Linked DNA regions of Cricetulus griseus. The protein of the gene in region 1 interacts with the protein of each later gene in a biochemical or structural test. Links are inferred from orthologs where the notes say so. Each region holds a gene or a part of one and is shown on either strand. Other genes may lie near its edges.

Evidence for each region.
Region 2: the proteins of Tom1 (region 1) and Tollip form a complex in vitro, tested with the Homo sapiens proteins (3 studies listed by BioGRID and IntAct, with this or other methods). The link is inferred for Cricetulus griseus from reciprocal best matches to the Homo sapiens genes TOM1 and TOLLIP.

What each region holds. Positions count from the first base shown.
Region 1 is NC_048596.1:150,804,402-150,813,750, reverse strand, and holds the start of Tom1 (target of Myb protein 1), read right to left. Parts: upstream 5,488-9,349; 5' UTR 5,382-5,487; coding exon 5,330-5,381; intron 1-5,329. Other genes in the region: Hmgxb4 (HMG domain-containing protein 4), read right to left, coding at 9,019-9,063.
Region 2 is NC_048596.1:59,281,349-59,290,802, reverse strand, and holds the start of Tollip (toll-interacting protein), read right to left. Parts: upstream 6,021-9,454; 5' UTR 5,894-6,020; coding exon 5,861-5,893; intron 1-5,860. UniProt on the Homo sapiens protein: Component of the signaling pathway of IL-1 and Toll-like receptors. Inhibits cell activation by microbial products. Recruits IRAK1 to the IL-1 receptor complex. Inhibits IRAK1 phosphorylation and kinase activity.

The DNA.
Region 1 (9,349 bases):
GCTGGACAGGTAGTCTTGCTGAATTGGTGTGCTTCAGTGAGAGCCACTCTCAAAAAAGATGAAGAGCAGTTGAGGAAGACACTCAACACTGACGTCTGACTTCCACATGTATTCATAAAAATGCACAAGAAACTGCACACACATGTGCATGCATGTACCATGCAACACACACATACAAAATAAAAGAGAAATGGAAGAGTAGAAGAGTGTGAGAGAGCATACAAATATCAGTGGGCTCATTGATGTTAGCTTGCATTCATATGATTATAGAGGCGTAGCAGATCCAAAATCTCCAGCCAAATGAGAATCAGTGACAGATGTGTCTTCTGGCAGTTTCCCTTGCTCTGGGGATGTCAGTTTTTCCAGGAAAGTCTTCAACTGATTGGGTAAGGATCATCCACACTGTAGAGGGTAGTCTGTGCCTGTCATGGTCTATTATTTCATTATTAATCTCATTGAAAATTTACCTTCACCAGGCTGGTGAGATGGCTCAGTGAGTAAAGGTGGCTGCTGTCATAACTTCATGGACATAAATGTGAAGGATAGGGCTAAATGAGTGAGTGAGCCAATTACAGGAAAACATCATGAAAATAATAATAAAGGAGGCATGCAGATACAAAAGACTAAAAGGTGGTAGATGAATGTGGCAGTTGAGAGCACTGGACCTCCCTTCATCAGAGGGTAAGCGTTAACGTGTCCTGAATCCCCAGCCTCCTTCTGAAGTGACAGCCCCAAGATAGTTCTATATTGAGGACTTTAGTTTAGCTGCTCAAGCATCACCCCTTAAGAGCAGAAATGTAGAACTTTACTCTTATTTCTCAGAGCTCCATGTAGGAACAAAACCTATTCACCAGCTCAGTCCACACAGTCAGGCTGAGCTTTATCCCCAGGAGAGCTGGCTCCATCCTACAGCCTGAAACCTGACCTGCTGTGAATGCCCTGCCGCCCAGCCACCCAGCCAGTGACTGTTCACATCACAGGGACACAAGGACTAACACAAAAGCCGCCCTGGAGTCTGGGCCCTGCATTGTTACCTTAGCTCCGTCACCAAGTATGCCCAGAACAGTGATACCACCAATGAGAGTCCCCAGCTGTGGACTCCTCTTGCCTGGCAGGCACCAGTCCAAGTGCTTCAAATGCCACACATGACACAGCAATCCCACCTGACAGGTGCTATTATTAGCCTCCTTATACAGATGAAGGACCAGAAGATAGTGAGGTTAATAACCTACTCCAGGACACAGAGCTAGTATTTTGATTCAAGGTCACCTTGGCCTTTTACTAGTATTTGTCCAGCCAGGGCATAGCCCTATGTAGACTAAGTCTCACTCCATGGAACAGGCTGGCCTGGACCGCACAGAGATTTGTCTGCCTCTGCCTCCTGAGTGCGGCATGAAAGGCATGCAACACCACACCGACAACAATAATACTTAATGGCACATGGAAATGACATAAACTCAAATTCTACAGCCCACAGTTTTATTGGAGCATGGCCACACCCATGTATTTACCTATTGTCTCTGGCTGCTCTTATGCAATAATGGCCTTGTTGAAGTATTTAACAGAGACCATATGGCCTTCCTAAGCCTTGAGGACTGACTTTGTGGCCCTTTGCAGAGTAAGCCTGCTCTAGTCCACCCTAACAGCCAATGCAAGAGTCCTCCAAGGCAACTTCTCCTTTGACCTTTACCTTTCATCAAGAGGTAGCAGGGGATCTCATTATGAACAAGGTAACTGGCACACCTCTGACAGGTCCAGAGTTGGCTGCTTAGCCCAGCACTGACTTTGTAACACCACACTGCCCCTCTGTGCCTTGTAGTACGAACTGTTCCCCATTTCAATTACGTTTCAGCTGCTGTTCAACTGTCTTTGGGGAAGGGAGGAAGTGGGGCACCTCTGTGTTTCATTACAGATGGGGATAGAAGATAGTCAGCAGTAGACAGTGACTGCCCAACATCTACAACATGGCCTAGCCTGTGTGTTTCTAGCCTATCTTCCCCAAAGGAACCTCAGAGCCCTGATGCTGGCCATTCATTTCTGATTTCTGTCCATGGGCCTATGGGTAGGCTTTGGGAATCCAAGGACAGCTCTACCCTCTGGTGTGTGTGTGTATGTGTGTGTGTGTGTGTGTGTGTGTGTGTGTGTGTGTGTGTGTGTGTGTGTGTGTCCTCTTCCCTCCCCATTTCCTCACATGGTATGGCTCACTCACTATGTTCTCCCTTTAGTCTATAAAAAACTTTCTCCTCCACCACACCTAGGAGCAGCTACATCCTTCTTTTTTTCTTTTTTCACAATCTGCTAGGTGCTAAGGCACCAGGAAAGGAAGGGATAGCTCCTGATCTCAAGTCAAGCCTAGCCTGAGGGCAGACTTGCAGGGATGGTGGCACATCTGTGTGACGGAGGTGGAAACAGTAAATGATGGTGAGATAGCAGGCGCTGGTGTTCCCTATTCCCTACACCCTCTCGCTGTGCAGGCACTCTCCGGGGAATTGGCATTTTTTACAACCACTCTCAAGCAGAAGAGTCGAAGCATACAAACTGAAGTTCTCAGAAAAGCTACTTCTGTGTTGAAGATGTTAGAAGGCTGACTGACAACAACTTTGTGATTGTGGAGAGTGGAAATGTTGCAGATCTTGAGACAAATGACCTTGCTTTAGACCCTTTATTAAGCATGTATTGCTCATCTCCGAGTTGTGATCTAACAAGTCTGTGACTATCAGGCAACACTTTTGGAATAAGTTAATAGAAAACTAGTGTCCACCAACCCAAGGGCTAGGAATGCCATCAGCTAGCACCTGAGAAGTGCAGCATAGATATTCGTGCTTTGCTGTATCCCAATTGCCTGATTTCTGGCTTACTTTTGTTTTCTGTAGCTACGAAAACATCATGAAACCATTTCCCATACTGGATCATGTTATTTGGGGTGATAGGAATCTGTGTTCCTGGGTCACAGCAATTCATATTTGGCTCAGGGATAAACTATCTCTGATTTCCCTTGAGGTGAGAGCTGTTTTGTGCCTACTGGAAGCAGAGTGACAAGAGAACAAAAGAGCAGCAATTGGAGCTGGAGTTAGGAAAGGCCGCAGGGAAGAGGTGATGGTGCCCAGTGCTCTAAGGGATGAGCCCAGCTCCTCCCAGAAGCAGACATTGTAGGCAGTGAGACCAGCAAGCATCAGGTGTATATGAATTGTGAGGACAGTGACACTGGGCCCTGATTAGCACCATTTAGTGATTGCTGTTCTCTAGTATGCCAATCATACAAGATTCTACTCTCAGGGCATGAAGCCAGACCTGAGAAGACACCATTTTACTCCTGTAGCAAAGGGAGGGGGGAGGGTCTGAATTACAGGAATGCAAGCACCTAAAACCTGGCCATCGATCATCACAGCCAGCCAGGCCCATTGGCATAGGGACAAGGTCTCTGATACTTGGAAGCTGATCAGGGAGGACTGCTTGGGTCCATAAGTTCCAGGCCAACCTGGGCAACAACTGAGACTCTATCTCAGACAGACAGATACATACCCCTTTCAATCTCCAGTACTTCTGTCTCTCTATACATGGAAGACTATGGAACACTGATATTGTTCAAGGTAGGGCTCTCTATGTAGTCCAGGCTGGACTTGAACTGAAAATAGTCCCACTTCAGCCTCCTGAGGGCTGGAATTATAGGCATGCTCCACCACACTGGGCTCTTTTACAGCCTCTTTAGTAGCCCTGGAAGGCTCATTTCAGTTGTGCTATCAATTCACTGGGTTTTTGGGTGAGTCTCAGTCTTCACCACCTTCCCTTTGTAGAACTCAATCCCCTCCCTTCAGTAACAGGACTTTGCAGACTGGTATTTTTTGTTTTGAATCAGGGTCTTATTCTGCAGCTCCATGCTGCCCTGAAACTCATTTTGTAGTCCAGGTAGCCTGAGACTTGGTGGCAATCCTCCTGTCTTAGTCTACCAAGTGCTAGGATTACAGGTGTGAGCCACCGCTTCTGGTGGCTCACACCTGTAAAATTTGTGGTCTCCTAGCCAATTGCAAAGAGCATTACTGGGAACTCCACAGATGCCAGTCTGAATCTGATGGGTCCAGCCAATTCTGACATAAAAAAGGCAGAGGGTCCAGTTGTGAGATGTAGTTAGCACTGAGGTATTGATATAGCACCATTCTGTCTGTCCAGAAGTATTTCTTGCCCAAGGAAGGCAACCTTTCAGGGTAGGAAGAGGTGTTGAGTTCTGAACAACTGATATGCACACTGAGCCTAAATAAGCACATCCAGAAAGTCTCAGGACTTTGTGGTTGGCTTTGAAGAATGGAATAATTAGCTTGTTTTTACATAGGAAGTTTGTGAAGAGGGTTGTCTTCTCTTTCCAGGTCACAAACGAGGACTCAAAGATGGGGCTTTTGCGAAGCACCTGGGTTTCAGGCACTAGCAATGCCCTGCAGAGAACTGATGAGAACCTCCAAACTTACAGCAGTGGCGGTTACAACACAAAGCTGGGCTAACGACTTCGGGGAAGCCTTGGCAGGAAGAATGCAAAGAATGCCTTAACTAAAAGATCCAGCCTGTTCAGTCTGGATCCAAGGAGAAAAGCCACCAAAAAGAATTACACAATGCTGTCGGGACCCTTCAGACAAGAAGAGGGGTCACACCCAGACCACCCATCCCTGGAGAAATGTCGCCACCTGAGTAGGTACTGGGAACCGGCACTTTCCCACGGGCTCCAGCCCCACAAGGTGGTACCACAGTGACAATGACAAGCATTAGCCATGTGTCAGGCAGCATCCTCAGTGCCTTGCGCTTAATAATGCATGTAATGATCAAACAACCCCAGGAAGGCCGGGCCACCGTCCCTTAACTACGGTCGAGGCGACGTCACACAAACCCGAGTCTCCCGACAGCGGGGACAGAGGCGTGGCCGAGCCCAGACACCTCAGGAGTCCCGGAATGTGAGGGGCCGGTGACGCGGCGAATGACCTGAGCGCGGCCAACCCGGGAGGGACCTTCGGCCTGCCCGAGCCTGGCGGCGGCGGGGCCCCACACCGGCTCACCACAGCAGTCCCTTTAACCTAAACTTTCTCCTTCTACTCCGGACCCCAGCACGCGCGCATTGGCTGAGCCACATCCGCCTCCTCTCCCTGCCTATTGGTCACCCTCAGCATCAATCCCCACACGAGGCTTCTGACTGGTCCGCAATCTTGTCAATCAGGTGAAACACAGGTGGGGCGGAGCCAAGAGCGCCGCGCCAGCCTCGCCGTCTGCCTCCCTCCTCCAAGGACTCCGACAGGTCCCCGGCCAGAGCTAGACAGGGGCGCGGCTGCGCGCGGCTCCCGGGACTCACCGATGCGTTGTCCCACCGGAGAGCTGAACGGGTTTCCCAGGAGAAAGTCCATTGCCGCAGCTACCGCTGCCACCAGCTCCCAGAATCAGGTGACAGCAACCGCCGGCGCCGCCGACCCGTCACGTGACCCGCTGGCCGGCCCGCGGGGCGGCGGCTCTGGAGCACAGCCCCGAGGCCCCGCCCTCCAGGCCACGCCCCTGAAAGGCCTCAGTTCACTCTGCGGCGGGGCCTAGAAGTCTTCACATCCGGAAACTGGGTCTCTGGCCAGGGAAAGACTTGGATCAAGTTACACAAACTCAAGCCCAGGCTGGTAGCAGGGTCTTAGCCTTTAGTCCTGGGGACGTAGCCCTGAGAGTAACAGCCTCCTTGACTTTTTGATGTCTCCCTGCTCCACGAGCCACCTGTGGGTAGCCCAGAGGAGGCAAGGGTCTGGACTTGTGCTCTCTTAAGGCAGCGAATGAACTCCATCTATGTCCAGGGCAGTTCTACTTGGCAAATGGGGACAGTGCTTTTTCTGCATCTGTTTCCCTCAGTGGTAAAGGGGGACACTATCCATAACGCTTTGAGAGTATTAAGATGACATGCAAATTGTTCAGTAATGGGCATTCAATGACGGTGATTTCTTCTTTGACTTATCCTTATAAGACATGTTTTAATTCTCTTTAGTGTGTGTGTGTCATGGTGAATACAGAGGTCAAAAATCACAACATGCAGCAATCCTCATTATGTAGGTCTCACAGACTAAACATGGCAGCTAGTACCTGTGAACCATCTCACTCCTCATACTCTGCAGCCTTTTTTTTTTTTTTTTTTAATATATACTCTCCCTAGGCTAGTCTCAAATTCAGATCTCCTGAGTGTTGGAATTACAGTCGTGATCATTAAAACCCAGCCTTTAACACCAGTTTTATTTTGTTACTTAAATTTTTTTAAAGATTTATTTATTATGTATACAGCGTTCTGACTGCAAGCCAGAAGAGGGCACCAGATCTTGACAGATGGTTGTGAGTCACCATGTGGTTGCTGAAAATTGAACTCAAGACCTCTGGAAGAACAGCCAATGGTCCCCAGCCCCCACTACTTATACTTTTTAACATGTTGTATTCTATTAACTTTTTTTAAATCATGAAAGGTCAAATTTCCACATATTTAATGTTCATAATATTACCAAACATTCACTTTGGGCCAGCTGGCTATAGACTCAGAGACAGCGAGTCTTTTTTTTTTTCCCCTTCAGACAAGACTCTGGAAGCTCCTGGGACATGGACTATATATTTTCAGCACAGGATTTTCATGCAACCCTGACAAAATACTGATGGATACTTGATTTAAGCCAATACCATAATGTATAGGGTTTCACTGGCCAAGCATTAGAGCCACAATTTATCAGGTTCTCTAGTTTTACAATATGCAAATGATACTTGGGAGCCTGAGACCCAGGATGGGTAAGAATATGAAAACTTGACCTTTATTCCAGGTTTTGGCTTAAAACTTTTTAAATATAAATTATGTGTATGTGTGTGTATCTGTGTGTGTGTATGTATTTGTGTGCTGATGCCTAAGGAGGCTCGAGAGGGTGCCTGATCCTCTGGAGCTGGGCTTTAGCTTGGGTCCTCTGCAAGAGCAGGCAGTATTCTTAACCACTGAACCATCTCTTCAGCTCCTGACCTCTTTTATCGAAAAATTAAGAGTAGAACAGAGTGAATAACAGTTTTATAATTTTATAGCAACTATGAGTAACCCAAGGGAAAAGACAGCTAAGGCTACCACAAATATTAAAAATGAGATCTTTAATATAAGTACAAAATTTTGTTTTTTATACAACTGTAAGATTTGGATCAAACCACTAGGATTTATTTAAAAAACAAAATAAAACAATGATATAAAAACAGCAAGAAGGCCTGAATCCAAAGTTTTTCTTCTAATAGTACCAAATACCACAAGTTACAGATTATTATACAAATGTGTACAAATCTTTAATACAAATACAACAGGGCTAGGTTTCAGAGGAAAATGAACACGAAAAAGCCGGTTATCACCAGGAGTTCACTGCTGTCTGTAGCAATGACAACAGAGGACTGGCTGCTTCCTGCACTATGTGTGCCTTCTTGGCCTCTCCTTCACACCCTGTTTCTTAAAGGAAACTTCTGCAGGTTCAAATGAGATTCTGACCTGTTAGCTGAAATTTAAATTTTGGTTCTTCTTGATTCAGTTCCCACATATTCCTGTTTCTTTCTCCATTTCCCAGAATACATCTCAACACTGCTCTGAACTGAGAAAGACTGGATGTCCAGAACGCCTGTGAGGCGCTAAGCTATGAAACACAGTGAGGCTATATGGGAAGGAATTAAACAGGATGGCAGCTGACTACATGGTCCCCAAAGCTTACTGTGATGCTGCCTTGTCCCATTTAGGCCAGAGGGAGAAAGCATGGTTACCTCAGCATGGTTTTGGCAGGGAAGGGAATCTCACACCAAGCTTCCAAACAACTCTGGAGTGCTCAACTATCTTTTAATGGGGAAGCAGGTCTTTGGGAATAAGGGCAGTTGGGAATTGTGACATTTCTTTCTACTTCACTTTGCTAACATTATTGAGGGCCATGAAGCTCCTTTCTGAGTCATAACACCTTAACATATGGATGACCTGGAGCTTTTAGACAGACACGAAGAAATGACAAGTCTGTATGCTCCACATGCTACTGCTGGTGGAGGCTTGTTATTAAATTATATATACAGAAATTTACAGGATAAATTAAAATCTAAAAATTCTAAAGAGTTAAATACACATAATTAAAATATATGCTCACATACACACATAGATAACCCCATTGAGAACCGAGGGTTCCTTTGTGATCCACATGTGTGAGGAATGCAGAGCACAATCTGCCCATCAGGGGAACCAGAGCTGAACTAAGAAGCTGCAGAATCTCTCAGGATTTGGTGGCCAACCAACAAAACAAAAGATACCAGCTTTGGTTTTTATAGACCAAGCCTTCTTGGCCAGCCAATGTAGGCTCAAAGGTGGCACCAACAGCTTTGGCCTCTCCAAGCTATTTCTCTGCTGCCAAGAATCACATAACTAAGGCTATCAGTGGTATCAATGACTCTGTGGTAACAATGGTTACAATAAAATTGGAGACACAGATACCTGTTTAGTAGAAATGGAATGAGTCCCCTATTAGTCCGCCTAAGCCATCTCTACCTCCCCTCAGGTCACTTTGAGTCAAATAGTTTGTAGTCAGCTGGTCTCCTCCCATAATCTTTACTATATTTCCAATTATAAGACAGGTAAGGCAAATGGTCAGTGATGGGTCTGGAGGTACAACCAAGCTTGGGGGAAAAAAAATCACATTTTAGCTGTCTATAACGAGATACACATGGCACCCAGAATAAGCCCCTAGTCCCCAAATTACACTGATTTTTTAAGGCAGATTTTTTTTCACACAAAAAAATAATCCCAAACCCACATTCATGCCAAAGTTTCCTTTTCAGCTAAACCCTTGCCATTTCATAAAATTATTAAAAGCAAAGTAGTTATAATCCTATGTATATACTGTACATTATATATATGTATAGATAGATACAAAAATTAAAAACCTACACCCAGAGATCAGTGGAGGATCTGGAACAGTCATATATACATAAACTAGCGAAGGGGTAGACAGGTTTCTGTCCCAGGCTTCTTGGAGGTCACAGTCCAGGCATGATGTAAGCAATGTTGTCCAGCGTGTTTGACTGCAAACAAGGAGAAAGGGCTCAACTGTGGCATGCCTCACTGTGGTCCCTGAGAAATGTCATGTTCAAGCGAGAGATGGGAAAGTGGGCTAGAGACACAGGCATGCTCCTGTCAGCTAGGCCAGGAGCTTCTCTGCTCATGCCTCACATTACAGCCAGCAGCAGGAAGAAGTCCCTCTGCTGCCTCTGAGTTACAGACCCTTAAGTTCTAGACTACACTGCTTTTCTCCAAAGTAGTCATGGAAATGGCATTTTTTCTAGTTCACTGAAACCACAGCATGCAGTT
Region 2 (9,454 bases), about 92 Mb from region 1:
ACATGGCTATTCATAAAATGTATTTTTGCCATATATTGGTGGAGGAAATATTTGATCACATGAAAAGGTATATTTTTATCACTGCTTAAAGACTTAGAAATAGTAAATGATAAATTCTGTTAACAGACTCACAATGGATCTTTTTATAGTTTTACTTAAATTGAGTCCAACACTAACAAATGACTTGAAACATGTAGGTTAAACAATTTCACTTCCAGGCACCAGACCCGTGGAAAAGCTGCAGGAGTGTAAGGCTAGTTATGCTCATTCCTTGGGGCCTGGGTAAAAGAAAGAGCCACCAAGCAATGTCTTACTTTCCTAGCCAGAAGCATCTGTGTGCCCCAGACTCATAGTTCTAAAAAAGAACAGGTTATTTCCATGTCCCTTAAAGAATGCAAGGAACCCCCAGAACCCTGTCCAAAAGAAGGAACCAGCAGGCAGGGCACACTGGGCTTCACCCTTGGCTCTGTGTAGCAATTGATGGCAAGTAAAAGTCGGAACAAGCAGACTAATCTAATGAATGAGGGCATACATGATACCCAATCCTTGCATCTGAGGCACACTGCCTATGAGATGGACTGAGAAGCAAGTTGTCTCCCCTAGGATTATCCAAAGGCTTTTGGTCTGCCCAGCGAGGAGAACCTGTCTGCTAGCATGTCTGGGACAATGAAGGAAAAGGCAAGAAGCTGCTAGTCTAGAGTTCAGAAAAAAAAAAAAAAAAAAAAAGATAGACAAGGACACAGTTATTTCAATGGGTGAGTGTCCACATGCGTGTGTGACTTGCATGTGTGTGTGCATATGTGTGAGGCAATGGCACCAGCAAGACTAGAGGGAGCAAGGGAGAATTCTAAAGATACACCAGCTCATAGTTTAGAGCATCTGTGGCAGCTAGGCAGAGATGGATCTGTTGCCTGGTGCCAAGGCCAGGATAGCCTTCCAGAGCTAGAGATCATATACACAAGAGTAGCTGATGCTGTGTCTCCCCAGTCACTACAGCCAGCCCTAATCCCTGCCTTCAACAGGTACACTGCAACTGCACAACCCACCTGTACCCAGCTCCTGTCTCTCTGGTGTCAAAGCAGAAATGGTATCTGAAAAGGATTTGATCACAGAAATAATCATGTTTTCTAAGAAATGAAAAATAACTCATAAGGACTTAGTAGTTCACTAGATCATGGTATTTCCCAAAGGCTGGGGTCTGGTGTACTCTCCATGCATAAACTTGGCACATCCTCACAAGCCCTGACAATAGTTCTATAAACAGTAACTGGCTCTCAGTCAGAACCGAAACTGCACTTAAAGGAATTCAGTGATTTACACTGAAACTCCAAAGAATGGAAGGGAAGTAAAATAGTGACTGGAATGACAGCAGGGCAGACTTACAGTGGCCTGAAAAGCTACTGCCCACTGCAACTCTTCATAGGACCTCCAGGAGCTACAGTGAAGGAATCTAAAAGATTCTTACTTGAAAGAAAGGTAAAGGGATCGTGACAACAGACACAAAAAGGATTGGGAAGAAATGACACATCTCAGATCTGAACAAGCATTGACTACATAGGAAAGTAGAGTCATCACATATGCACAACACCACCAGGTGGCCACCTGCCCACCACCAGCTATGGTCTTTGCATAGACTGGAAGAAACGGAGATGCAACCAACTTCAGGTCTGCAATACTGTGTGTAGAAATTCCTGGGGTAACTCCCTAGAAAAAAGAAACACACCATATCTTTACCAAACTTGTGAAAAATTTACTACTGAACTGAATTTTTAAAAAATCTATGCTTAGCGAATCAAAGCAATAATAGAAACATGTAGGACAAATAAACACCTAAAAGTGTTAAAAAAATATATGTATACATTTGTCCTATATAAAATAAATCTATCTAACAGATTCCACTACAAACTTGTACTTCTTAGTTTTGACTTTTAAGGATACAGCTGTATGCTGCTGTGGGTAGATCCCTCTAAAACATAACTATTTAATAAAATGTAAAGTCAAAAAATAAATGAAAGAAAGAAAAAAACTGTCAAATACTTTCTAAAAGGAAAAGTACTATCATACAAAGTAAAAGGCAAGAGGCCAGTGGAGGTCACCATCTGGTGGCAACAGCCCGATGCAGGAATGCTAGACTTGTACCCAGGCATAGCCTCACCTCAGAATCCATGTGGGTGCTGGGAATTAAACCCGGGTCCTTTGGAAGAGCAGCCACTATGCTTAACCATTAAAACATATCTCCAGCCCCAAGAGGGTGATTTTTTAATTTGATCCTATGTTCTGCACTTGGTAATTGGGTCTGTTGTTAAAGATAAGCTTTTCCCATCAGCCAGAGGTACCTGGGTTGTCCCTAAACAGTTTCTAAAGTAAGGCAAGATACAGGCTTCTTTCTTTCTAGTAATAAGAGGAAAGAGTTCACTTCTTTAGGGTATGTATTGGCTTTCTTTCTGAGTGTTACTGCATATTGATAGTTTTCAACCCAACTGTGTGAGTCAGCAGCCTCCGTGTCCATGCAACCTCACAGAGCAGAACCTGTGCAAGAGGTTGTGCCCACAGCTGGCCACTAGGCCTGTGTCCCTGGGTCCCTGGGAATGCCTGCTCTGGATTCTAAGGTAAGGCTATGCCTGGGTACAAGTCTAACATTCCTGCATTAGGCTATGGTCACCAGATGGTGACCTCCATGGGCACCAAGAATGCACAAGGTATATTTACATATACACAGACAAAATATTCTTAAACATAAAATAATGTTAAAATTTTTAAAAATCATCTTTTGTCATCTCTAATCAATTTAATGGCTCAACCACAATTACCAGGGAAGAACAGTACTGATGAGGTTCCAGACAAGCATGGACACTAAGGCCCACCCACAGAATGAGGAGGGGAAGAGCCAGAGCCAGTAGCTTTTGGCAAAGTTCTGGTTAGCCAGCATCTCAAGAAGAACAAGTTAGCACCTGTTGGACTCCACAGAACACATCTATAAAGGAGGACCTTCAAAATGCCACCCCTACATCTGCTGCAGCCTACAGCCAGCAAGACCTTCTGCATGCATCCCCACAAGAAGTAGGGTCCTTAAAGTCACTGGCCGGGTGTTGGTAGTGCACACCTTTAATCCCAGCTCTCGGGAGGAAGGGGCAGGCAGATCTCTGTGAGTTCCAGGCCAGCTTGGTCTACAGATCGAGTTCCAGGACATGCTCTAAAGCTACAGAGAAACCCTGTCTCGGACCCCCCCACCCCCCCACCCCACCCCCCGCAAAAAAAAAAAAAAAAAAAAAACCACTACTGTAGGAAAGGAGCAGGTGTGCAGACTGGGTAGCAAAAGGGGTAATTTCAAAATACCAGTATTTTCAAAAGTGAGATGGCTATGAAAGATTGTAGTGCCCTATAGTGGCTATTAAACAAAACAAAACAAAACAAAACAAAAAAAACAAAACACAAAAAAAAAACGTAAAATACCAAATGTCCCAGGGAAAAACTTATTCCTTCACAATTATGTGGGTTCTGGCTCTCCTCCTCATACTTGCCCCATCCCAAACCCTCAACCAAGAATAGAGAACCCTCCTAGCCCAGATGAGAGTGTCCTCAGCCTTCTATAGCCTCCCAAGACACTGTCAGTCCTTCCCCACTCATCAGAGGTGAAGGTCAGCTATAGAGACAACTGCCCAAGCCTAGTCCAGGCTCCTGGGAAGGGGACTCTGAACCATAGCCTAACCCCCTGCTGCGGTTACAAAAAGAAGGCTGCCAATAGTACCCAGTACTGACCAAATGTGTACTTCTGTTTATCTTTACAGCTCCACAACCCTGAGTATGACATGAATAGTAGGGAAGAACTACCACACTCTTGACAGTTCTACTAGACCCTGACAACTGGCTAAAAAAACCTTTGCAAATATTAATGAATCCAGAGGCATATAGGTAGATCATTCTAGGTGAAGCAGCCAGTGAAAAGCTGAAAACTGTAAAAGGCATGCACTCTAAGAAACAGCACTTACCAGATCAAGTTCAAGATCTTCTAGTCTTTAAGAGACCCTGGCCATAACCCATTCACTCCTCCCACACCAAGTCCATACCTTTCTGTTTTCAATGATTAAGAGCACAGACCTGATGGTGACTGTTATTTTCTGGCTTTATATGGGTCACCATGCATAGCTGTGTCCCTGTGCTCCACACTTTTGACTCAGTGTCCAATTGCTCTAAATACTGTGGCCAATAATACATCCCAAGCAAAGTCTAAGATATCTGTCACTGATGACAATTTCTTAGAGTCCAGACACAATATTACAAGTCATCAAGAGTGCTCCTAAAAAACCATTCAGCTGTCTATGTTTATTTATAAGACTCTGTGGTCCCTAGAACACTGGGCAAGTAGAAAGATCAAGCGTCAGGACTTGACTCCACAGATTGCGCTAGTATGAATGTCACCCGACACTCCCAATTACTCATCACAGCGTGGGTTACCCCAGCTCTATACACACAGCACCAGAGTTTCCCTCAGCAACACGGGAGGACACCTTCTTACTCAATTAATGACGGACATTAAGCTCACCATCAGATGAATTCAAATGCAGTCCAGCCACAGAAGTAAAGGCACTCTCAGACACACAGTAAGGAACGGTCCACTCTGCCTGGCCCTGTGTCCACTTGGCAGGAGATAGGAAAAGAGCAAAGTACTGGCTCCCTTCCTCTTCTGTCAGCCACTAGCAATCTTCTGTAGTTTGGTGAGACACAGTGAGGATGAAGAAGGGTTGCTGAACATGAAGGTAACCCCAACTCTGGTCAGGAAGTCTGGCTTTAAAGCCCTCCAAAAAAGCACCCTGCCTGGGGCTTTCTTCAAAGTCAGAAAATCAGTCATCTACCCCAATGATTTATCTGTTACACACACACACACACACACACACACACACACACACACACACACACACCTGTCAACACCAAGCTGTCAGGGTGAGGGACCTGGGAAACCAAAGGCTTTGCAGACACTTTCAATAACTTCAGGGAAAAGACAATGGAGCCATCAGAACTGTGTTCTACACACATAACCACTGTTAGCTAACAACATCCAACTCATATCAGTCTCAGAGAACTACTGGGAGGACATCCACACTAGAGGTAGGAGAGACAGGTAGTGTTGTGGACCCCAAGACAACCCTTAGGAGCCATCACTGTTGGTTTTCCACGTTTTCTGCTCCCTTCTCCTCATTTATAGATGAACAACTGAGACTTGGAAAGGTAGCCACTAACCGGGCTCAAGAGGTAGCAACCCTGTTCTCTATAGGAGCAGGGAGAGGAAGAAACTGACACAACTAAGAGCTGATTACAAAGTGGGATCTTTCACCATCTCTGAAACATCAGAGGAGTGTCAGGCCCCACTCCTCTGAGAGATCATGGGAGCCAAGACTATCAGTTTGGGAAATTAACAGGGTCAGGACCACTCTCCATTTGGGGAACCAAGCGTCAGGGCCCATGTCCATCTGAGAGACCAAGGGGTTGGTATACATCTGGGGAAGTAAGGGGTTCGGGACCCTTTTTCCACCCGGGGAACTAAGGGGAGTCGGGGTCCCTCTCAGTATGGGGAACCAATGGGGTCACGTTCCTCTGTGTGGAGGACTAAGGGATTCAGGGCCCCTCTAGGGATTCAGGGGTTTCAGGGCCCGTGGGCATCCAAAGAACCATCAAGCTCTGCCTTCTTCCACCCGCGAGACCCTCAGGACCAGAGTCGCTACTCCGTTTGGGTACCCGAAGGTGGGACCCGCACAGCTCCGGGACGGCCGAGCAACTCGCGAGGGGCCCCACGAGGGGCTGACAAGAGGAGCCCGATCTCAGGCTGCGTTGCCCCAGTCCGGCCCTCGCCCAGTGGACTCACCGGCCCGCGCTGCGTGCTGACGGTGGTCGCCATGATGTTACGGCGACCCTGTGCCTCACCGACCGCACAGAGACCCGCCGGGAGAGTTCTTCCGCCCCCACCTCAACCTGCGTCGCCGACCGTTGTCCCGCGAGGCAATCTGCGCCTCAGTCAGCTGACAGTCACCCCGCCCCGCCCCACCCCGGCATTCCCAAGGCGCAGCCGCTTCGCAATGGCTAATCCCGCCCCTTCCGGCTAATCCGCGCATGCGTGCAAAGGGCTGGGGTGAGGGCGGGTTAAGTCTCCCGTGTACGCCTGCGCGGTGGTCACTCCTGTAGTACGGTAAGCCCTTAAAATGGCTGCCAGGCTGTCTGCGCATGCCTAAACCTGAGTGTTTCTCGGCGTGAGCCAGTCTGTTGACCCAGGACCAGGCACCCGAAACATGGATGTTTATCTCAACTCCGTCAAGTCGTCACAACGTCCAGTCACCTGGCTGGAGATAGCTAGGAGACCACCACCTGCAAGGTGCCTGATCCGCTTGAAGAAAGGAGAAAACTGATGTTTGGCAGCTTGAGGAGAAAGCAGATGGCAGTAAAACCAGTTACCCTCAAGCCCTTGAATTACTTCAAAATGCTGTGGGAGGAAGAACATTTATATTTAAATGTTAAAAAAAGAAGCCAAGCTGAAGGAGAGGCAAGAGTGGGCTGGAACACTTCCACCAGCCTTGAATTTGCCAAATGAATGGAAGAGATGTCCCTAGGAAACCCAGGCCACCCACTCTTGCCTCTTCAGAGCGCTCTCTTCAGAAGGACCTTTGGCCAGATAGACTCAATGTAGTTCCTTTAAGTTTATCCTGTGGTGGCCCCAGATCTGCAGATCTCTTTCGCTTGTGCTGCAGTAGACTTGGTACTGCCCAGCACCAAATGTACTCCTAGTACATTTCTTCACTCACACTGTGTTCTATTGTGTTCCCTTCATCTCTAAGACCTCATCTTCTACCTCCATTACCAGTCTCTGCCTTGATAGCACATGGGACTGCATCTGGGCTCTGTCCCTGGATGCAGCTGTCTATCCAGTTCTCACTGGTCTGCAGCTGATGAAGCTAAGGCAGACCAGGACATAAGACTCGACACCCAATATGGCAGACAATTTATAAGAGACCCATGATCCCTTCCTGGGGTTCACATCCCTATACAATCCTTTCCCCTTGGTTATAGACAAAACCTCTGAATTGTGTCTAAAAATGCACCGGGCATCCTGCAAGTTGTGTAAGATTGTATCTGGACAGCAGACTAGGAACTTCTTGTGACTAAGACCTGCTAAAAATGATTGGGTTTGAGATGTTCACACATATGCCCTTTAATGGATTCCCAAATCCCTCAATATTAAAGAGGTAAACAAACAAACAAAACAAGCAACAAAACCAGGGAGAATTGTTACTGAGGAAAAACTTTATCACATAAAATTCCCCAGTAAGTCCCCAAAGTCTGTTCAAGTGGCATAGTCTGTCAAAGCAGAATCACAGCATTTGCTCTCTGGTGGTGGTCACATGGTACATAACCTTGTTTCTACTAGATTTGCTGTAGATAGCAGAAGTTCTGGTGTATGTGGGCTGTGATAGAATTTGACTAGGTTACTTTGCAGAAACTTGAAAGCTACCTGTTGTGAATACTGACTCTCCACTCAGTGGAGAGATGTTATGAGTAGCAGAAGACAGATGAAAGACACCTCTGTCTTCATCATCTTGTATTTATCACCCTTGCTGCCTTCACTCTTGACTTAGATTTGTGGTGCTTTTCTACTGATATGATAAGTCAAGGGCAACTTAAGGGAGAATTAATTTTGGATTTATGGTTTCAGAGGGTTAGGGTCCATGATGGTGGAGCAATACAGCTGTCTGTGCTCAAAAAGTAAAGCATTCACTTGTCCATTTGCACTCAAAATGGAGCCAAATGCTGATTGTAAATGGAGTCACTTGGGGAACAGCCTGAAAGCCAATGTTCCACACAATATAGGGTTGCTTAGGGCACATAGCCTGCTGTCCCCAATGTGGTATTCTGCTGAACATGAGCAAGTTAGCTGAGCAAGGCCACTCTGACCATGAGGTAATAACATGAGAATAATCGGTCTCAATATTGTCTGTGCTTTTTTATTTCTATTTTTTGTCAACTTGACAGAAGCTAAAGTCATAATGGGAAGAGGAGCCCCTCAACTGAGAAAATACTTCCATCAGGCCAATCTGAGGAACATTTTCTTGATTAATGACTGATAGTGTATGGGATGGGTCAGCCCACTGTGGATAAGTCCTAGGTTAGATAAGAAAGAAAACTTAGCAATCCATGGAAAACAAGCCGGTAAGCAATGTTCCTCCATGGCCTTTGCTTCAGTTCCTGCCTTCAGGTCCCTGCCCTGCTTCAGTACCTAACTTGACTTCCCTCAATATTGGAATATGATTGGGACATATAAACCAAACAAATCCTTTCCTTCTTTGGTTGCTTTTGTCATAGTGTTTATCACAGCAATAGAAAGTAATCTAGGACACACGTCAAGCCAAATAAGCAGGTCTTTCATCCCAACTAGTGTTGACAGTCATGGAGTCAGACCAGCCTCAGTATCATAGTTTCTTTTTTTTTCAAGACAGGGTTTCTCTATGTAGCTCTGACTGTCCTAAAACTCATTCTATAGACAAGGCTGGCCTTGAACTCAGAGATCCTCCTGAGTGCTGGGATTAAAGGCGTGTGCTAACACTGTCTGCCTCATTCTTATTTTTACATGAGAATTTCTAGAAGTCTAATTTAGACTTACTTCTGATTCCTAATAGCATCCAACCCAGAGGAAAATCCCACTTTGCAAACCCTCTCCCATAAGTGCTGATACTGTCTTTATTGGGAAAAGAATAATCTTTATGTTGCACAAAGGAACCCATAAACAAAGTGAAAGAATTTGTCAAGGTGATTTCTTTTTTCAAAAAAGAGTGTGCCAGACCCCTAACACGGATATTGAGCACACTTAACCTTCTGTCTTTTATCCCTGACATAGGGATTATTCCATTGGGGGAGCTCAACTTCACATTCTGATGCCATGGACTAATAGATGCAGAGAGGAAAGGGGAAGTTTGGGGAATAATGAACTTTTACTAGGATAACTACTTTTGGCATAAAAGAGTTTTTCATATCTTTGTTATTTGTCATATTTTATTTATTTTGTGTCTGCACATGCACTGGGTCCATAGAGGGGGAGGGGAAGGAGTAAGTTACTTCTGGAAGAGGAGGTCCTAGCCAGCTGAGCTGCAATGCAGAGATAAGAGGACTCTTGTTGAGCCACCTGAAAGTTATTTAGAGAGCTCCAGGATTGCAGCCTTTGTGTTGGGGTGAGGTTTTCAGTGATACAATGGCTTTTGAGTCATCTTTGATCCTTGTAAGTAATTCATCACCCTTATTGCTGAAAGAAACCTCAATAAAAACTCATCAGTTCACCAAATTGAACTTTGGTTCAAATTTCACTTTGGTCTGTTATGGTTTCTTTTACAGGTATAAGCAGGTGTGTGTGTGTGTGTGTGTGTGTGTGTGTGTGTGTGTGTGTGTGTGTGTGTGTGTCTCCCAAGGGGAAATCTGT